Linked DNA regions of Elephas maximus indicus. The protein of the gene in region 2 interacts with the protein of the main gene of each other region in a pairwise test. Links are inferred from orthologs where the notes say so. Each region holds a gene or a part of one and is shown on either strand. Other genes may lie near its edges.

Region 1 (6,895 bases), on a different chromosome or scaffold from region 2:
GAGATAAGGGGATCAGTTAGGAGGTTACTGTGTCATCCAGGAGAGAAGTGATGAGGATATGAACCTGAGCTCTGTCAGTAGAGGTGGGAGGCTGGAGACAGATAAGGCCAACAGGACCAGAAAGTAATAAAAAGTCACACAACAGAGCAGATTGTTTCCACTATACATTCATGAGTCAGAAAATTAACATGATCTGATTTATATCACTAGGCAGTAGAGAATCAGGGGAAGAAGGAGAAAAAAAGGACAAAGTCCCCACCTACCCTCAAGGAACTAACATTTCAGGGAGAGCACAAATAATGAACACATCCATTTGTTCATTCATTCATTCAACAAACACTTACGAATGCCTACTATATGCCAGGCACTGTTCCAGGTACTGGAAATATATACCAGAGAACAGTATAAAATCCCTGCCCACATGGTGCTTTAAATCTGAGAGCAATCAGTTAACTCAACTCTTCATTCTGTTTGATTTTTTCAGTGGAAAGTGATAAGCAGTAGGAGAAAAATCAAACAGGATAAGGGGTTGAGCTGACTGAGTGCTATTTTAGATCAGGTTGTCAGGGAAGGCCTATCTGAAGAGGTAGCATTTGAACAAAGTCCTGAATGAAAAAAGAACAAGCAAGCAATGGAAAGATATGAATGAAGAATGCTGAACTCTGAGAGAATAGTAAATGCAAAGACCCTGAAGTGGGACTATTTCTGACCTGTTCAAGAAACAGTAAGGTCAGGGTCACTGAACTCAAGAGTAGTTAAAAGATGAGGTAGTAGAAAGGCAGGAACCAGTTCATGTGACACAGGGCTTTGTAGGCTAGGATTAGATTTTATTCTTAGTGTGATAGGAAGTCACTGAAAGGCCCTGGACAGGAAGTGACATAAGCTGATTCAGAGTGTCAAAAGATAACTCCAGGTACTTTGCGAGGAAAGCCTGGTTGGGAAGAGAGGGGTGGAGAAAGGAAGCAGGGAGTCCAGTTAGGCTACTGCAGGAGTCCAATGGAGACAGAGATAATGGTAGCAATGGCCAAGGTTAAAGGTTTGAAATTAATGACTTGCTGAAATTCACCATCAAATGGGCCTACTGCCTTGCCCAGCAATCCTACTATGATTCCCTGATCAACTCTCCACAAAGATTATCTTAAGTTTTTTCCACTTGCTAAGACTTCTGAACTCCTCTTCTCTCAACAGATGACCTTACGTCCTACTTCACAAAGAATACAGAAGCCACCAAAGGAAATACTCTCATTTTCTAGAAATCAACCACACAAACCTATGCATAGCTGCATCCATCCTCTTTCTCTCAGCTGTAGAGGTGCTGTCAGTCCCTTCTGCAGTCTAAGGCCTTTCCCTCCACCTATGCTTTGGCACCCTTCTCACTCATACACTTTTCTTGTGCAATCTCACTCGCTCATATTTTAATTTCTGCCTACTGTACACATTCAGTTTAGAATTCTCTAAGCTCAGGACCCATATACCCATTGTCTACTTGACAGCAACTAGGTGCCTCAAATGTACCTGAAACTCAACATGTTTAAAACTGAACTCATCATCACCTCCCACCTCCAGGGCCCTGTCTCAGCAAATAGTACATGCTTCATCCAGTTATGCAGCCAGAAACCTGCCACTTCCCTCTCCCCGCCTCCTTCATCCAACCCAGCACCAAGTCCTGTCAATTTTACCTCTTAAATTTGTCTTCAATAATCGTCTCTTTCTCCCCCTGTCTTCACCCCTTCCCCCCTTCTTCAAGCTCCAACCAGTTCTCCCATGGAGTATCACGACAGCCTAACTGGTCTATCCTAATCCACTTAAAAATGTGCAATTTAAAAAATGGAAGTTTGACCATGACTCACTGATGCTTAAAACTTGATTGGCTTTCTTGAGTTTTTGGATAAGGACACAACTCAGTATGGCTAGGCTCTGCTTTCTCTTGCTCCAGCTTCATCTCACACCACGCTTCACTCAGGTCTGTTAGCTCGAACTTCTTAAACAAACAAACAAACCCATTGCCACTGAGTCAATTCCAACTCGTAGCAATCCTACGAACTCCTTAGATTACAGATATTTTTCCGACTTCATACTCACCATGTGTCCTTCACACTCACAGCCTTTGCACACTTCATTCTCTCCCTCTACTTAGAGGGCTTCCCTCCCTTTTTTGCACAAAGGCATCAGATCTCACATCAAGCTTCAATTCATCAGAAAACCCTTTCTTGACCTACATAACTCAAGACCTCATTACAGATACTCAAAGTATCATTTACCTCTACCACTTCACAGCTATAATTCTACATTTGATGATGTTTGTGATGCCAGCCCCTTTCCCCAGTTAGTCTGGTAAGCCCATGAGACAGAAAACTGTCTACCATTGTATTCCCAGGGCCTATCACACTGCCTGGCACATAGTAGGTGCTCAGCAAACATTTGTTGAGTAAGTGAATAAAGCACTTTAGTCCATTATATCAAAAAGCTTGGCTGGCAGTGGAGACAAACAGGAGACAGGTCAGTAGTTGAAGATTTAGAGTTGAGGGAGAATTTATTTGTGTGTTTTAAGATGCAAGACACTTGGACAAGGTTATGTGCTACCCTTGAAGAACTCTCAGTCTAGTTGGGGGTACCAGAGGATCGGTAATCGGAGGTGAATGGACTACAATTTCCCCCCATTAGGATATCAGTTAAAACAGACCTTTAAAGAGGGTATGGAAATCCTGAGAGGGGTAGCGTGGAGGGTGGGAAAGCGGCAGAAGCAGGCCGAGAGGGGCCGTGTCCCAGTCACCACCATCTTCCCGCGTCCCCTCACAGTCTCTCCGCTCCCCCCACCCCAACCGCAGGGCCCCCCTCTCGCTCCTTCCCGCTCCCACCGCCCCCTCTGAGCCCACAGGAGCCTTCTCCCTTCGGGCCGGTCCCGGGCTTCTCTTACCCGCCCGGCAGGGTCAGGGCCGCGTCTCCTCTCAGGTCTCCACGGCTTCGAGCCCGGAACTCGGAGACAAGGGCCGGCGCCGATTGGCGACGCCCCGTCACGTGACCGCAACGCTCCGCCGGCGCCAATTTCAAACAGGGGAACAAACTGAAAGCTCCGGTGCCGGACCCCACCCCCGGCCCCTGGCCCGGGACCCCCTCCCCTCCCGGGATCCCCCGGGATTCCCCACCCCTCCCGCACCGTCGGGGACCTGGCCGGCCTGGCGCGAGTCCCTATCCGGGACCCTGGCTCGGCCCCCAGATTGGAGGAGCCCGGAGTCCGCCCTAGGAGCCTCACCCCAGCAGCGGCGGAGGCTGCAGTCGGGAGGTGAGCTGGGCAGAGGAATGGAGGCTGAGGCCGGGCCTGGGCAGAGGCAGGGAGCAAGGTCTCTGGCACCGCTTCCGTAAGTCCTCCGGGCGAGGAAGTCAGGGAGTCTAGCAATAGGGTGCGGGACAGGAGTGGAGGTTTGGGACCACACGGGGAAGGAGGTCTGAGTAAGGGTGCAAATTTTTTCTGCATCCAACCTCTGGTCTCGGCCTTCTCACTTATTTCTCTAAGCACCACTTGGCTTTTACTGGAAGTGTGACCTCTGTACCCTGCATCAGGAGGGCTGAGGTGGCCTACCAAGTGTGAATCGTGGCTGAACTGAAGACTGAGCTTATTCTCCAGTAAGTGAAAGATCAACCCACACACACTCCCCTGCTCTCAGGCGCTCTCACCACTAGGCAACACTGCCTCCACCCTACTCTTACAGGGCCCTTCTCCTGGTTGTTGAGAATCTAGCAAGGTTTCCCTGGTCAGGATGGGGTTACTCTGGAAGTCACCGGGCTAGAAAGTGTTGTTGGCAATACTAGGAAGAGGCTTGTCAGGCTAGAAAGTGTTGTTGGCAATACTAGGAAGAGGCTTGTCAGGGAGTAGAAGAGAAAATTAAGACTTAGACCAGGAAGAAGATATTTTGGAGGAAGGGGAAGATAATAGCTACTGGCTGATGGGAGGAAGGAGGGGAGGAGGCCAGGAGAGATATGAGGTGGAAGTAAAACTGAGATTTGAAGGTAAAGGAAACCTAGATATATAGGAAGGGGAAGAGGCAAAGTGGGAAAGGCCTGTGAATTCTAAGCAGATGGCACCAAAAAAGCAGATGGCAAATGTCATACAAATGTGTCAATCATTTTTCGGGAGATAGCAGATGTCCTAAAAGAGACAGCCAATTTCCCTGTCTCTCAAAGTACCTCTAAATAGAATTACACAATTTTGCATAAACTGGCAGAGTATTTCATGTAGCTATTAAAAATTAACAAAGCACAATTTTTCTCCCCAAGAGAAAAACTACCCTCCTCAGCATTACAAAGCTCCCTTAGCATATTGGTGATAGTCCATTCTAGGAATCAGGAGATAAGGTTTATCCTCTTTGTTCTGGAAGAGAAATTAATACAGTAACATGCTTAGAAATCTAAAATAAAGATAAGCACATGCAAGTACTAATACTGTCACTGCGTAAGTATTTTGTAAACTGAAAGAAAAATACTCTTTTTATTAATGCAACCAAAAACCAAACCCATTACCATCGAGTCTTTTCCAACTCATAGCAACCCTATAGAGCAGAGTGGAACTGCCCTGCCCCATAGAGTTTCCAAGGAGCACCTGGTGAATTCAAACTGCTGACCTTTTGGTTAGCATCTGTAGCTCTTAACCACTACGCCACAGGGTTCCCTTATTAATGCAAGGATAATGATAATGTAGCCTGTAAAATGAATGGCACCCGCTAGAGTTGTGCAGTGCACAATCTGCACAACTTCACCATGGCCCTTAAATAGAGCAAGGGTTGCCTGCAAGCTTTTTATCTGAGCCCTTGTGAACTAGGAGATGATTTCTCCAGTGCTACGGCAATAGTGCAATATGCCTCTCTCCCCTGATTCTGTGGGCACTGATCCTATTTTTTACAGAGTAGAATTACATAAAAATATAAAGGCTCTATCCTAGAATGGATTATGGCATTAGAGTTTTGTTGGGACTATATATCACCATATGCCTTCCTATTCCAGCATCTCCCATCCCTGTCCCTCCAGTCATAGCAAGTAATGTGTATTATAATTTCTACATTTTGTGGCTATCTCACTTGTTTCTGTAGCCAAGCATTCTTAAGCTTCCAGCAGGAAGTCTTTGGCTGTCTTGACCCAAATCCAATCCAGTTCCACTTTCCCCCTTTGAATTGCTTCTGTTTGCTTCAGTTTTACCTTTCTTTAGTCAGTGGATTTCATCTTAGTATTGGAGGTAAGCCTCTACAAAGGTCAGGGAGCATTACCTGGGCCCTTAGGCTCATACTTCTGGCCATAAAAATAGGAATGCCTCTCTAAGAGAAGCTCCTTCTCAGCCTAACAAATCTCTGATATCCTGCTCCTCCTTATACTTTCCAGGGTCCATGCTTGTGATTCTCAATGGAGAGTGAAAGCACAGATTCATAATGAAAACCAGCCCCCGTCGGCCACTGATTCTCAAAAGACGGAGGCTGCCCCTTCCTGTTCAAAATGCCCCAGGTGAAACATCAGAGGAGCAACCTAAGCAGTCCCCTGCCCAACAGGAGCCTGGCCAAGCACAGGCCTCCAAGGAGGTGGCAGAGTCTAGCTCTTGCAAGTTTCCAGCTGGAATCAAGATTATTAACCACCCTACCATGCCTAACACCCAAGTGGTGGCCATCCCCAACAATGCCAATATCCAGAGCATCATCACAGCACTGACCGCCAAAGGAAAAGAAAGTGGCAGCAGTGGGCCCAACAAGTTCATCCTCATCAGCTGTGGGGGAGCCCCCACTCACCCTCCAGGACCCCAGCCTGTAACCCAAGCCAGCTGTGATTCAAAGAGGACAGAAGTGATAACCGAAACCCTGGGACCAAAGCCTACAGCTAGGGATGTGAATCTTCCTAGACCTCCTGGAGCCCTTCCGGGGCAGCGATGGGAGAGCTGTGGTATGTGATCTGCAAGGCAAAGGGGTGAGGAGCCCAGCCTTTCTTCTCTGGTGGCAAGGTCTGCAGTCAGTCGTATTGATGCTTATAACAGACAGGTGTGCAGCCTGAACCAAGTTTCCTCACCCAGTAGCTTTGACCATATCCTCTGGGCACCATTGAAAGCATTGTGATTATAATTTAGCATTTCTATTGCCTTCTTTATATTGGAAAAGAACTTATTATTTCTATTTCTCCTTTCCATTGATCCTATAAGGAAGTAGAAAACTAAAGCAGAAGGAAAAAAAGTTACTTTCCTTGTGCAAATACTCAAATAACTCTTCCGTAAGGTTGCCTTGCCTGATCTTTAAGGTGCAACGCAGCTTGATTGAATTGCAACTTGAATTTCTCCTGAAATCCCTAATAAGGTGGAGTAACTTAGGGCCCATTAGATTTAGCATGTGTTCCCTGTCCCTAAGGGTAGAGGTCTTGGAGTAGTGGTCCCTAACCACAAATTTTGATGGGCCTGCCAGGCGTCTGGTCAGGCAGCTAAGTGGAGTCTTGGATTGCTTTCTGTCTAGCTGGCGGTGAGGCAGCAGGCTGCACTCTCGACAACAGCTTGACCAATATCCAGTGGCTTGGAAAGATGAGTTCTGATGGACTGGGCTCCTGCGGCATCAAGCAAGAAATGGAGGAAAAAGAGAATCATCACCTGGAACAGAGTCAAGTTAAGGTGCACCGCTCTAGGGCACTCAGTAGGGGAGTTAGCCATTGTGGGGAATTTCTAAAAGGGAACTAGATCAAGTGGCCTGCTGGAGCAGGATGTCCAAGCTCTAGTATTTATACTCCACTTAGTGCTATTCTGGAAGCCCTGGTGGCGTAGTAGTTAAGAGCTACGGCTGCTAATCAAAGGGTCAGCAGTTGAAATCCACCAGGCGCTCTTTGGAAACTCTGTGGGGCAGTTCTACTCCGTTCTATAGGGTCACTATGAATCAGAATC
Region 2 (7,121 bases):
GGGGCAGGGCAAGATGAATCCAAATCAGTTCCACGCTCCTGTCAAGTGAGCTGTGGTCCCTCACGCATGGTCTCACGCTGTGTTCAGGAAGGGAGGGGAGACTTTGAGCCTGACTCCTCCATCTCCCTGCCCCCATCCTAGCCTGGGCCTCCCCCACCTCTGCAGAGCACTGCCATGGCCTCCTTCCGGAGCTCCCACTTCCACTGTAGCTCCATGCCTATTCTGCACATCAGCAAAAGAGCCTTCTTCAGACTGCACCACACTTCACTCTCTCTACCACCACCTCCAGGCCCCTAAGGACTTGACCTCCGGCCTCCCCTCCCATATGCTCCCCCTCCCTCTCTCCACTCCAGCCTGCAAAACCTTTTCTTTTCCTTGTGGATACCCTGCTGCCTCCAATCTAAGGCCTTTGCATCCTCCTGCCTCTCCTTCTACTCCAGTTACCTTCTAGTTCCATATCAGCTCAAGGGTCACTTCTCCAGAATGACCTTCCCTGACCTCCCTGAACAGGTCAAACACCCTGCTCTCCTTCAGGTCTGAAATCACAGTAACAGACTTCCAGTGTTTGTGTGAAGGGTTGATTAATGCCTGTCTCCATCCACTAGATGGATCTGTAGCCCGGGCCTGACATACAGTAACTGCTCTATAAACACTGACTGAATGACTCAATCAGCAAGAGCGGCATTCTCGCCTGAAGAGGAAAATGGACCTCCCTAGCTGATGTCACATACCTAAAGGACTCCAAGAGGCCACAAGGTCTACCCAGCGCCCTCCATCCATCTCTCCTTCCCTAAAGCAGGAAGAGCCAGCCCCACGCAGGCCAGTACCGTTTGCCTCCAAAGCTGGGTCGCTCCTCATCTGAATCTCGCTCTGCCCACACCCCGTAGGTGGCCTCTTCCTTGGTCTGCCAGTGGCGCTGCCGGTTGGGGTTGAACTCATTCTGGAGATCCCAGTCGGTGATCTCAAAGTTCTCATGCTCATCCTCGTCCTCATCCATGTGGCCTTCCCCGTCCCGGTACAAGTGGGACAGCGACATGGCCCGTCACTAAAGGAAGGGACAAAAAGGGCAGAGTCTGTGAAAAGTCCTGGAGGCAGCAATGGAAGGCTTCCTGTGAGTCCCTGCTCCTTGCTGCCTTCAGAACTTCTATGAAACTCAAAGTCTGTTAAAATCATTGTTACTGTTCAATAAAGTGGACAGTTAAAGACATATTTCAGGAAACAATCAGTACTACAACAGGTGAAACAAAAGATTAATGTCAACCATCTGTGATTCTTAAAAAATATGCATTTCTCTGTCCTAGTCAATGCTGTAAGACTTCACCCACATATATACAAAAGCCACACAAAAACAACTAAGTAAATACGTTCTTCTATATATTATTGCCTCAGAAATTGGGTGAATATCTTCCCAAACCCCCGATTTTATTACTATTTTCAATTATTGAAATAGTTGTATCTGGACTCTTGGCATGGGCTCAGGAGAGTGACTTTTTCTTTATTGGTGGGGTGGGGGATGTACTTTCTGAAATAAATTACTTGAAGAGACAGACTCTTAGAGTTATCTCTCTCTATTTTCTTTCCCAAAAATGAACCTTTTCTGATGAGTTGGAAGGCAGCCGTAATTAAGAACACTACCTTAACAGTCAGGCATATGTGGATTGGAATAGAGACTCTACCTCTTGGTGGCCGGGTGATGGGACTTGGTTGTCTCTTTCTGAAACTGGGATTAGCTACTGTACCAACCTTAGAGAATATAAGGTGGTATTCAATGAGATGGAGCTTAAAAAAATCTCTTAAAACAAAAAACCAAGTCAGTTGTCGTACATGACTCCAACTCATGACAACCCCATGTGTATCAGAGTAGAATTATGCTCCATAGGGGTTTTCAAGGGCTGATTTTTCAAAGTTGATTGCCAGGCCTTTCTTCTGAGGCACCTCTGGGTGGACTTGAACCACCAACCTTATGGTTAGCAGCCAAGTGCCTAACTATATGCACCACCCAGGGACACCAAAACCACTCAACTCATAATAAATGCTCAAAGAATAGCTGCTGCTGTAGTCATCACCCTGGTTAAGTTTATCATTGCTACTATTATTGGATTAGAGAATGAACCTAGGAAGGTGATTATGAAATCAATCAGGTGCTAAAATCACAGCCAGGGTTCAAATCTCAACTCCAACGAATACTCAGTGTGTGGGTGTTAAATGCACACGAAGTGTCAAGCATGGTGCACTGCATAGCAATACATTCGATAAGTGACAGGGACTGTGATTCTTCTCCACCAGTTGCTGACTACTTCCACAAGCAGTGTGTCAACCTCTGCTCAGCTCTGTCAGAAAGTTCCCCCCTTCTTCTTCTACTCACTGCTGCGGGTGCAGCTGGTCCCAACCTCATCCAGGAGTGCATAGGCGGTAAATGTTCTTGGAAGAGACTGGGAGTCCCAGATACATGGGAGTAAATTATACCGTTGGCTTCTGGGGCACAACCACGGTACTAATCAGAGTAGCTACGAGTTGTAGCGCCCTCAGTAGGTATTAAGTACCTGCTGGGCACTTCAGGTCGGCTACATAACGTAAGCACCAGGACACTTATACGAGGCAGATACTACTAAAGTTTCCACGCTTCAAATAACAAAAATGAGACGGGGGAGCGAAACAACACGCCCTAGGTTCCACGGCTAACAGAGCTCGAACTAGAGCCTGGCCTTCTCTCCACCCTGCTGTCCACGCTACGCGGAGGTGGCCCAGGTTCTTGACTCGGCCCTGGCCCTGGCCTCAACTCCCGCGTAACATCGAGCGGCCCGGTCCCTCTACGGGCCTCGGCAACGCCGTCTGCGAGATGGGATCCTACACCGGTGAGGCCAAGACTGCCTTTCCCTCGCCCCACTCCCCGTGGCGCAGCTCTTTCTCAGCCCGTTTCCACTCCCCGACGTAGCTCACCTCTCCGATGTCCCGCGAACCAAACACGGGCGTCTGTTCTACACCATCAACGCGCCACTCCGGCGGCCGGGACCCGGAAGCACTTAGTCAGGCGCGCCGGAAATGACGCCTGCGGCACTCACGGCTTGCGGGCTCCCATGGCAACAGTGGAAAGCCAGAACGTCTTGGGGTTCTAAAGCGGTGGGGCAGAGATACTAGAAAGGTAACCGGGATTTGTGGGTCCCCGAGCGGCCGCTTTGCCGTCATGTCCAGCTCCTTGTTGTGCCTGCCTCGTACGGCGACGCCCACCTACGATGACCCATGTGGACATCGCCGAGCCACCTCAGCCTAAGCAGCCCCAGATTCTGAATCTGTAAAATGGGGATATAGGACTAGCCCATAGGATAGTTGTGAGCATTAGTGTGAGACAGTAGGGAGCCCGGTACACGGCCCTCAAATGGGAGTAATGAAGGCCGCAACTGTGTCTCCTGTATCTTTAGGTCTTCAGTATAAGCACCATCGTGGGCGCAGAATCGTTGCCTTATAAAGGAGTTTGAGGGCGTACAGGAATAAATGAGCCAACTTTAGAGTTCCCAAGTGTTCTCTCCGGGAAATCGTTCCGTTCTTTTCCTTTCAAACAGGTTGATAAATAATTTATTCATTCACATATCTAATATAAATGTACAATGGGTCTAGCTAGGTGTGGGGTGCTGCTAAATGCTGCTTCCTAGAGGTGGGACGTGGGACAAGTTGCTTCACCTCTCTTCACCTCAATTCCACCATCTGTAAAATGGGGATAATGAAGGTGCTGATCTAAAATGATTATTCTCAGGACAAAAATGGACTAATTATTGCATGTAAAGCTCTTAGCACAGTTCCTGGTATAGTGAAAAGACAGTTGCTTACCAGTGGATTCTGGCGCATGCCAACCTCAAGTGTGTCGGAGTAGAACTGTGCTCCATAGGGTTTGCAATGGCTGATTTTTTGGAAGTAGATCGTCAGGTCATTCTTCCGAGGTGCCTCTAGGTGGACTTCAATCTCTGACCTTTTGGATAGCAGCCAAGCTTTAACCATTTGCACCACCCAGGGACTCCCTGGCATAGCAAGAGCTTAGTAAATAGCTGTGGCTATTTGCATTTAGAAGTCACAATCTCACACCCCTTTAACCCTCAAAGATAACATGGTTTTTTCAGGGTGTCTGGGCTAAAGTGACCAACCTCGGGAAAATGAGAAAAGGTGACCAGAAATCTGGATTCAGGCCCCTGAGTGATACCAGTCCTGGTCTCCTGTCACTGCCCAGAAAAAGCATTACTCTGGGACTTAGTGACATCCAGGCCGGTGCCTAGATTACCAGCGAGGTACTCAGACACGTGGCCTTCCCAGAGGGGGTTGCCAAGCAACAAGGTTCCTTGGCAGCAGCTTGACAGGGTCCTCTGACAGTAATTGGTCCATCCCTCTCCTTTTCACAGATGAGGCCATGGAGCCTGTTTTGAATTAAATTACGCCCTTCCCCCAAATATGTGTTGGAATCCTAACCCCTATACCTGTGGAAATAATCCTATTTGGAAATATGGTTTTCTTTGTTACTTAGCTCATACCCGAGTGGGGTGGGTTCTGTATCTAATTACTTCTGATTTATAAAAAGAACAAATTAGACACAGAGATACGGCAGGGGGAGTGGGGGCACTCTTTTAGCCTCCCAAATTGTGAGAAGATAAATTTCCATTCTTCAAAGCTACCCACTTCTGGTATTTGTGTTATAGCAGCACTAAGAAACTTAGAGGTCCTGGTACAGGGGACATGCCAAGGGCCACACAGTGAGTTTAAAGACAGAACCAGGCCTGGAACCCAGAAGTTCAGACTTCCAGGCCAGTGTTCTTCCTGGCATACCCTGCATACGGCCACACACCATGTGGGTCCACTCGGTTGAGCTAATACTTATAGAGTGATTCCAGTGTGTTCAGGGTCACACTGCCAAGCTCTCTGCATACATCATCTCTGCAATTCTTCAAATTTCAGAGATACTTCCTATTACCACCCCAGAGGCCACACTCCTAACCACCCCTTGCACAACCTCTGCCATATGGCACTGCTTCCATATTGCCTCCAAAAGGACTGGGAGGTGGGGGAAAATCCTTGCTCAGTTCCAACTTTAAATAGGTTGGTACCATAGAAACAAACCATAAGTGGCATTTCAAAGCTGATATATTTAAAGTCTATCACAAGAACTTTTTCTAGGACAGTGACATTATACATTTTCACATAGTTTATTCTTATTTTGAATTTTGTTCCAAAGCATAAATTCAGTCCTGAGTCTGGTAGAACTAAAAATCCAGATCAGCTGCTAATTAGCCCATTTGATTTCCCTTTATATGTTCCTTACAGATGTTTTCTACCCTACTTATTTTTTAAGACTTTGTAACAACTCCATCCTCATATAAAAAGCTGGGACACAAGGTGTCACAGGCCTGAGGCATTCTTTGTAAAACAAGCAGCCTCAAAAGCCACAGGCAAGCTGAGGAACCACAGCCTTCATCATTCATTCCCTAATTCATGTAGTTACTCATTAACAAATATTTACTGATGACCTGTGTTATTAGTTAGGTCCCTGGGTGGTGCAAACGGTTCATGCTTGACTACTAATCTAAAGGTTGGAGGTTGAAACCCACCCAGCCACACAGTGGAAGGAAGGCCTGGCTATCTGTTTCCATAAAGATTCAACCCATTGCCATCAAGTCGATTTCAACTCATAGCGACCCTATAGGACACAGTAGAACTGCTCCATTAGATTTCCAAGGCCGTAATCTTTATGGAAGTGGACTGCCACATCTTTCTCTTGTGGAGCAGCTGGTGGATTTGAACTGCTAACCTTTTGGTTAGCAGCCACGCTCTTAATCATTGCACCAGCCGGCCTCCTCCATGAGGATTACAGCCAAAAAACCCTATGGAGCAGTTCTTCAGTAACACGTGGATTCACCATGAGTTGGAATCAACAGCAATGGGTTTGTCTGTTTGTTTTTATAATTTTTATTGTGCTTTAAGTGAAAGTTTACAAATCAAGTCAGTCTCTCACACAAAAACTTATATACACCTTGCTACATACTCCCAATTACTCTCCCCCTAATGAGACAGCCCGCTCTCTCCCTCCACTCTCTTTTCATGTCCATTTCGCCAGCTTCTAACCCCCTCTACCCTCTCATCTCCCCTCCAGGCAGGAGATGCCAACATAGTCTCAAGAGTCCACCTGATCCAAGAAGCTCATTCCTCACCAGCATCCCTCTCCAACCCGTTGTCCAGTCCAATTCAGGTCTGAAGAGTTGGCTTCGGGAATGGTTCCTGTCCTGGGCAACAGAAGGTCAGGGGGCCATGACCACCAGGGTCCTTCCAGTCTCAGAGAGACCATTAAGTCTGGTCTTTTTATGACAATTTGGGGTCTGCGTCCCACTGCTCTCCTGCTCCCTCAGGGGTTCTCTGTTGTGCTCCCTGTCAGGGCAGTCATCAGTTGTAGCCGGGCACCATCTAGTTCTTCTGGTCTCAGGGTGATGTAGTCTCTGGTTCATGTGGCCCTTTCTGTCTCCTGGGCTCCTAATTACCTTGTGTCCTTGGTGTTCTTCATTCTCCTTTGCTCCAGGTGGGTTGAGACCAATTGATGCATCTTAGATGGCTGCTTGCTAGCGTTTAAGACCCCAGACACCACATTTCAAAGTGGGATGCAGAATGTTTTCTTAATATATTTTATTATGCCAGTTGACTTAGATGTCCCCTGAAATCATGGTCCCCAAACCCCTGCTACACTGGCCTTCGAAGCATTCAGTTTATTCAGGAAACTTCTTTGCTTTTGGTTTAGTCCAATTGTGCTGACCTCCCCAGTATTGTGTGCTGTCTTTCCCTTCACCTAAAGTAGTTCTTATCTACCAACTAATTAGTGAATACCCCTCTCCTACCCTCTCACCCTCCCATTCTCCCTCCTCTCATAACCACAAAAGAAATGTTTCCTTCTCAGTTTAAACTATTTCTCAAGTTCTTATAATAGTGGTCTTATACAATATTTGTCCTTTTGCAGACTAATTTCACTCAGCATAATGCCTTCCAGGTTCCTCCATGTTATGAAATGTTTCACAGATTCGTCACTGTTCTTTATGGATGCGTAGTATTCCACTGTGTGAATATACCATAATTTACTTACCCATTCATCCATTGAT
Region 3 (7,061 bases), on a different chromosome or scaffold from region 2:
CAAGACAGCCCCCGCCTCCTGGTATCCACAAACTTGAGTATTCCTCTCCCATATTGCACCGGGGTTGGTCTTGAGACCAACAGGAAGTGGAAAAAGTGATGGTGTGTCACTTTTTAAGACGAGGTGATAAAAGACCATCACTTCTGTCTTAGTCCATCCATCTGTCCCTCCCTCCTGGATCATGTGCTCTGGTAAAGTCAGCTGCCTTGTTGTAAGCAGCCCTATGGAGAAGCTAATAAAGTGAAGAACTGAGGCCTCCAACCAGCAGTCATACGACACAGCTTAGAAGCCGGTCCTCCGATCCCATTTAAGCCTCAGACGACTGTAGTCCCAGCCAACGCTTTTGACTGCAGCTTTGAGACAGATTAAGCCAAAACCACCTACCTAAACCACTTCCAGATTACTTACCCATAGAAATTTGGGAGCTGTATGCTGTTTAAACTGCTACCTTTTGGGGCAATTTGTTACATATCAATAGGTAACTAATAGAGAGAGGAATGACAACAGGGAGTTTACTAAACACGTCATTAATTACTATCTGTGTTGCCTTCCTGCTAGAAAACTTAAAAAACTGGATGCAGTAGTAGGGATGGGGAGAAAGGTGAAGAGCTCTTGTGGGATCCTTCTTATAAGTTATAGTCTTGGTCTGGGAGGAAGGTGCACAACCAGGCAATCCATAAGGAATACAGCCTTTGTGGCCTGTCTGGAATACCAACCCCCTTCTTCACCATCAGCAGCTCCTAGGCTCCATGCTACCCACTGCTGCCCAGTCAATTCTGACTCAGAGAGACCCAGTAGGACAAAGCAGAACTGCCCCATAGGGTTTCCAAGGCCATAAATCTTTATGGTAGCAGGCTGCCACAACTTTCTCCCACAAAACAGCTGGTGGGTTCTAACTGCTGACCTTTCTGTTAGCAGTGAAGTGCTTAACCACTTCACCACTAGAGCTCCTAGGCTCCATTCTAGCTCTAGCTAATTTCTCTCTAAAAATCTCTTCAGTAGTTTCCTTCATTTCTTTCTCTGGCAGGAGAACAAATAATCTCTTTTAAGATATTAAGAAGTATTTACTGTGCTAATATGTCAAAGCCTATGGAGTGACCCCTCCTAGAGACGTGATCGTGTTAACTTGGAAGACTAAAAGAAAAACAAATCTAAGAATGGAATTACAGGCAAACAGGTTGTTATCTGCAGGCCAGGGGCCGTTCTAGCACTTCCTAAAACCAATATAGTTTATTAGATCCACTGTTGGCTGCTGAAAAAGACGACCAGCAACTCACCCTCCCATCTCAGATTGCGGGGTGGTCTTGGTAATGACAATTGTCTTTCCAAGCTTAGATTCCAGGTCCACCTTGTAGTCCCTGTGCCGCAGAAGCTCCCGCTTGACGGGCTGCACTGGTTTTCCTGGAACACAATGGGGAGGGGAGCCCCTTCGATATCACAGTTCCACAACCAGAAAAGAAAAAGAAATGTATGAAACCAAAAATTCAGAACTCTACACTCATTTCTTGATTCCTGAAGCAAGGGACACAATGACACCTTGAAGCAGCAGCTAAGGAGAGCCTAAACAGAGAAATAAGTGATAAGCAATCCCCAACTTCTTATAGCTTTTCTCCAGTTTAAAGCCAGTAAGTCTAAAAGCAATGTGTTTTCTATTCATTGATTAACTGAGTTGAAGGGAGGAGTTTGCACAAAGAGCAACCTTTTGAAAGAATAGCAAGGACACTCAGTAATGCTCTCAGGCAGATACTCTAAACATAACACAGAAAGAAACCTTTGCAAGCTGCTTCAAAATAAAAGGGAGAGTGGGCGGGGAATGGACCCAACATTTAGGAAGTACCAGTTATGGGCCAAGCACCGTCATACATGTTACATAAAAAATGAAAGAGATTGTGGAGCAAGATGATGTGAGAATACAATGGAAGAAAAATGTACAAATTTGGAAATAGAGAAGAAAATAAGACATTCCTTTTTGTCAAGTGGGATCTTTATGTAGGAGAGAAACTCCACCTCCTCGACATTGTACAAGGCAAAGAAAAACAGCACTACCAAGCACTAGCTGAAACAATCACATGGTTCCCTGATGAGTATTTCCGCTGTTCTCAGAGGGTCTTGACTGGGTCAGAAATGTTCTCCTCTTCTTGAAGTAATTCCAAGGGAAAGAAGGAGTCCTCGATAGCAGTAATGCACAGCAGCAATACACACCACTTAGCTTCTTCTCTGACATTACTAAGAATTCCAAGCTCTGTACATCAGGAAAGCACCAAATGAACCAACCAGGGCTGGAAAGGATCTCAAAAACCACTTCAGTCCACCTCATCGCCCTCACTTTATACAAAAGAAACCGTGGATCAGGGGGACTATGCTCCGCAAAAGGTCACACAAAGTAGAAGAGGAGAAGCAACGCATTTTAACTCCTCACTCACTCCGATTTCATCGCTACTATGATACCACTGGCTCCTGCTTGGGCAAGCACTCACCATCCTTCTTTTCTCTCTCTTCCGTGAGCCTCTTCTCGGCGAGCTTCTCATATTCATCTTTGTCCCACTTTCGGCGAAAGTCCAAGTTTTTCGTCTGTGGGTAAAAAAGCACTCAAGATCCGTCGCTAACCATGCCTGGAACCCTAGAGAAACTGAAAGTACCGGATCCTCGTTGCCAAGGTGGCCCCAGGACCCTCCGAGAGAGAAGCCACTCCGAACCCGTAAAAGGAGGCTGAGGTGGCCTCGGGACCCTAACCCAAGACCTCTGCGATGCCGCTGATCCTGCGCCCAGGCCTTACGGAAGAACTCACGCACCCCAGACCCTGCGATCGCGAGGAGGTGTCGGATAGCCAGTCCCGTGCAGCAGTCCGTCTCTATTCCGCCCAGAGAAGGCCCCAAAACCTCCCCCTCACACAGAGCACTTACCCCGCTGCCCGACGCCATCTTCACTGCGAAGTGAATGGGAAGCTGGAAAATGTCGTAAAAAGCGGCCTTCGGGCGTAAAGCAAACTTGCTCTCCAATAAACTTAGAGTGTCGTTTTCTAAGGCTGCTAAGAACTGGAGGGCTTCTAAAATAGGCTTGTTGACCCCGCCTCTGCTCCAAGGAGACGGCGCAGGCGCAAGGGCAGCATGAAGCTACACGGAAGTAAGGGCACCTGCTAACATTTTTTTTGGCGTGGTTTTTCGCAAGAGCTACGAAGAGATTTAGTGGGGCTCCTCTGCTTACAAACGAGGGAACTTGGGGCTCAGAAACAGGTTCCTCTAATCTAACCTAATCAACTTTGCACACATTGTCATGAGTTTCTAAACCATCTTTAAGGATAAAGAACAGAGACTCTAAATGCCCCATTAGAATGGTGGTGTTGGTAAAGAATATTGAATATACTATGGACTGCCAGAAAAACAAACAAGTCTGTCTTGGAAAAAGTATAGCCAGAGCAGTCCTTAGAAGTCAGGCTGGCGTGAATTCATCTCATGTATTTTGGACATATTATCAGGAGGGATCAGTCCCTGGAGGACATCATGCTTGGTAAAGGGTCAGTGAAAAAGAGGAAGACCCTCAACAAGATGGATTGACACAGTGGCTGCAACATTGGGCTCAAACATAGCAAGGATAGTGAGGATGGCGCACGAGGGGGCAGTGTTTCCTTTTGTTGTGCATGGGATTGCTGTTGAGTCAGAACCCACTGGCCACCTAACAACAGATGCCCCATTCACCTGCATAAACTAGAGCTATGGCCCTAAGCTATGCTGAAGTGTTTGCAAAGGTCAAAAATGTATGGGAAGCACTTTTTGCACCTTATCTCTTTTTCCTGAAGCAATGTTATCACCCCTTGGTTAACTCATTTTTTCCTTCGGCTAGGAACATTATAGTCATTCAACCTATACAGTACAATTTAATGAACATGATTGGACTTGGGAAAGTCACTCATCAGCAACACTCTTTGGTGAAGCACTCTGGCACACGGCTCACTGTATGTTGATTTTCAGCGATACGACAGAGTGTGGCTGCTCACTTCACTGAACGAATAAACATCATCCCAAGGAGGTTCCAGTTTTCCAGTGTATACTCAAGTATTTTCTATGGCCTATTCCCGTGATAACAAATTATTCAAACTACTACATTTAATATTTTATTTAACATATCCAACCACTTATAAAACAGCTACTCCTATGGAAGGGCAGTCCTGGTGGCGCAGTGGTTAAGAGCTTGGCTGCTAACCAAAAGGTCAGCAGTTCAAATCCATCAGCCGCTTCTTGGAAATCCTGTGGGACAGCTCTACTCTGTCCTACCCAGACAACTTGACAGCAAAGTGTTCTATGAAGGGGCATGGAATAGTCAGAGCGGTGACTCTGGCACAGGAAATGATCTCCAAAATCTCAAAAGATCAGATTTTCATCTTGTCAGTCACCTATTAAGTTCGACATTCAAGATCTTAAACAGACAGCCCCACCCTGTTGTTAACAATGGATGGGCTAGATACCAGATCAATCTGGCTACTGTCTTGCATCCAGTGGTGTAGCATCTCTGTCTTCAGACATTAGCAGAAAGCAACCACTGCCTCTTCTTGCTGTCTCCAAAAACTCCCTGGACAGGCCAAGGGCTGGCTGCAGACAAATTCACCAGCCTCAGCTTCAGAAGCTGCAGTGGAAGGTTAAGTATCATGGTTCTGATCTCAACTGCTCAGTCCTCTCAGCCTGAGGTGACTCTCCGAGAGCTCGGCTCACAGCAACCATATCAGCACCTGTTGGCAGCATTCAGTTGGCACTTCAAACCTGCCATCTGCCTCTGCAGTTAGAACATGTCTCTTTACAGTATCAGTCATCTGCCCCTACGCAGAATAACTGCTCACACTAATGACTTGAAGCCACCGGACACAGGAGTCCTTAGGGCTTTCTATTAATTTTGTAACAAGGAAGGATAGCAAAGGCAGAAGGCGCTTGTCACCCATCCTGGACAGCAGTTGTGATATCCATCGGGAACTCAGTCCTAGATGAAACTTTTTCTACGAAGAGCAGAAGATGACAGTCAGGCAAGGATCAAGAATCAGATAGTCGCTTCTGAATTTCAGCCACAAGATGTTCCCGTTTAATGGTCACCTGAAACATAAAGAACCCTCATGTGACAAGCTCAAAAGTGATACCAGCTCCTTAGCCACTGCTTTTCTAGATTCATATTACTCTGCATCTGCTCCCACTAATTAAGCAACCCACAGGAAGTAACGTGTGCTTCAAGTTGACATGGAGAACATATGTCCTCAAGAGTAAAGGGATTCAAATGCAAATACCTCATCTATATCTTTTGTTGATTAGTCTCAAAGTATGCATTCAGGTTGCATCTGTCCTTCTGCCTACCTGGACAATACTCATTGGCTGCAATAGTTATTTGGGGTAGATCTTCATTCATCTCTATCCCTATTAACCCTGGGGATATTTCTCCAGCCAGAAAATATGTATTTCTTAAAGAATCCAGGAAAGGTAGAAACATTGATTCCATCTATCTCTGCCTGCCCCCACTCACCTCCTCCTTGCTGGCCACTGAACGGAGCTTGATGATCCCTTCCTTCATTTCTTGCTCACCAATAATGACCACCAGTGGAATGCCCATGTTCTCACAGTAGTGCAGCTGGGTTAGTAGTTTAGGGTTGTTCTTGTACAGTAGCTCAGCCTGAAAAAGGTAAAGACAGAGTAGGAGGCTTAGAAGTCACCACAGCACACAAATCATAGGAGTAAGTATTTCCAAGGGAGCCAGAAATAAGTGGCTGGCCCTCCTACCCTAAGAAGCCACTCTAATGAAGACTAAAAAGGTCTGGAGTTTCAGCCTAAACATTACACTGGGATTAACTTCCACATATTCCTAGGTGGTCTGGATATCAGCTCCACCATACCTTGATCCCAGCATCCCAGAGCTCTGCAATTAGCTTCAATCGTTCTTGGAGAAAATTCTTCTGTGGTGTGGCCACAAATACTTGAGTCTCTGTGGTCCGTACCTTTTCACCAAAAACCTAATAAAAGAAAGAAAAAATAGCAAAACTAGTAAGAACTTCTTTGCATCAATAACTCCAAAAGATATAAAGAGTAGTAAGGAAAATGATCCAACTTCACCTCCAGAAACGTGAGGGGTTTTTAGGCCTTTGGCCCCATTCACCCATACCTAGGACCTACCTTCATTCTCTGCTCCACAATAGAGAAGATCCGCTCCACTCCAATGCTGAGCCCCACACATGGCACCCTGTGGCCCTTGGGGTCAAACATGCCCACCAGCCCATCATAGCGCCCACCAGCAGCCACACTGCCCATGCTCAAGGACTCCTCTCCAGCCTGATTTGGGGTCTGTAGAAAAACTGCTTCATAGATCACTCCTGTATAGTAGTCCAGGCCCCGGGCCAGGCTTAAGTCAAAAGAGATCTGTGGGGACAAAACTATCATCAATCTCAGACAAGACTTAGAACCCTGGGAGCCCAGGGCTCAACAGGAAGCCCACTCTCAACTCATCTTACCTTCTCAGCAATTCCAAAAAGAGTCAGGTATTCAAACAGCAGCTTCAGGTCCCTCAGGCCCTCCAGGACCTGCTTGTTCTGGGACAGTCTGGAATCCTGGAACAGTTGCTCTACCAGGGACACGCCACCTGGGGAGACATGTGGTGAAAAATAAGGCCTATTATTTTCATCTAAATGTGTTTCATCCAAATTTATCCTAAATGTGCTCCAGCCAGACCCACTCATTTTCTTAAAAAAAGATCATATGACCAGGTGCCTCCTCTGCCTCTACCTTTGCCATCTGAAAACACAAAGTGGCTACAGTAAAAGGGGAATTAAATTCAGGCCAGGCTCTGGAGCTCTGCACCATCTCTGGAAAGGAGTAGTTTCAGAGGCAGAAGTTGTACACATGTCACCCTTACCCTGGTTCTATCACATAGCTCTGAAAACCCTGGTTCTTACCATGACGTTGGACGTAATCCCCAATTCTATCAGCCACCTCAGGAGCCAGGCTCTTCTTTGTCACCATCTCGTGTCTCACATCTTTCCAAGACATCTGCGTAATACCCAAACATTAGCTCGGTCTCAAGACCCTTCCTTCTCT

The links.
Region 1: the proteins of TFIP11 (region 2) and RHNO1 interact in binary tests that used the Homo sapiens proteins (3 or more experiments, as listed by UniProt). The two-hybrid records come from large-scale screens. The link is inferred for Elephas maximus indicus from reciprocal best matches to the Homo sapiens genes TFIP11 and RHNO1.
Region 3: the proteins of TFIP11 (region 2) and ZMAT2 interact in binary tests that used the Homo sapiens proteins (3 or more experiments, as listed by UniProt). The two-hybrid records come from large-scale screens. The link is inferred for Elephas maximus indicus from reciprocal best matches to the Homo sapiens genes TFIP11 and ZMAT2.

Annotation. Positions count from the first base shown.
Region 1 is NC_064822.1:59,069,229-59,076,123, reverse strand, and holds the start of RHNO1 (RAD9, HUS1, RAD1-interacting nuclear orphan protein 1), read right to left. Parts: upstream 3,013-6,895; 5' UTR 2,918-3,012; intron 1-2,917. Other genes in the region: FOXM1 (forkhead box protein M1), read left to right, coding at 5,418-5,919, 6,477-6,628. UniProt on the Homo sapiens protein: Involved in microhomology-mediated end-joining (MMEJ) DNA repair by promoting recruitment of polymerase theta (POLQ) to DNA damage sites during mitosis.
Region 2 is NC_064840.1:30,360,142-30,367,262, reverse strand, and holds the start of TFIP11 (tuftelin-interacting protein 11), read right to left. Parts: upstream 3,019-7,121; 5' UTR 2,941-3,018; intron 1,046-2,940; 5' UTR 1,037-1,045; coding exon 828-1,036; intron 1-827. UniProt on the Homo sapiens protein: Involved in pre-mRNA splicing, specifically in spliceosome disassembly during late-stage splicing events. Intron turnover seems to proceed through reactions in two lariat-intron associated complexes termed Intron Large (IL) and Intron Small (IS).
Region 3 is NC_064820.1:153,927,646-153,934,706, reverse strand, and holds the start of ZMAT2 (zinc finger matrin-type protein 2), read right to left. Parts: upstream 3,013-7,061; 5' UTR 2,922-3,012; coding exon 2,904-2,921; intron 2,572-2,903; coding exon 2,478-2,571; intron 1,402-2,477; coding exon 1,278-1,401; intron 1-1,277. Other genes in the region: histidine--tRNA ligase, mitochondrial, read right to left, coding at 5,019-5,078, 5,500-5,646, 5,867-5,983, 6,144-6,386, 6,479-6,606, 6,920-7,013. UniProt on the Homo sapiens protein: Involved in pre-mRNA splicing as a component of the spliceosome.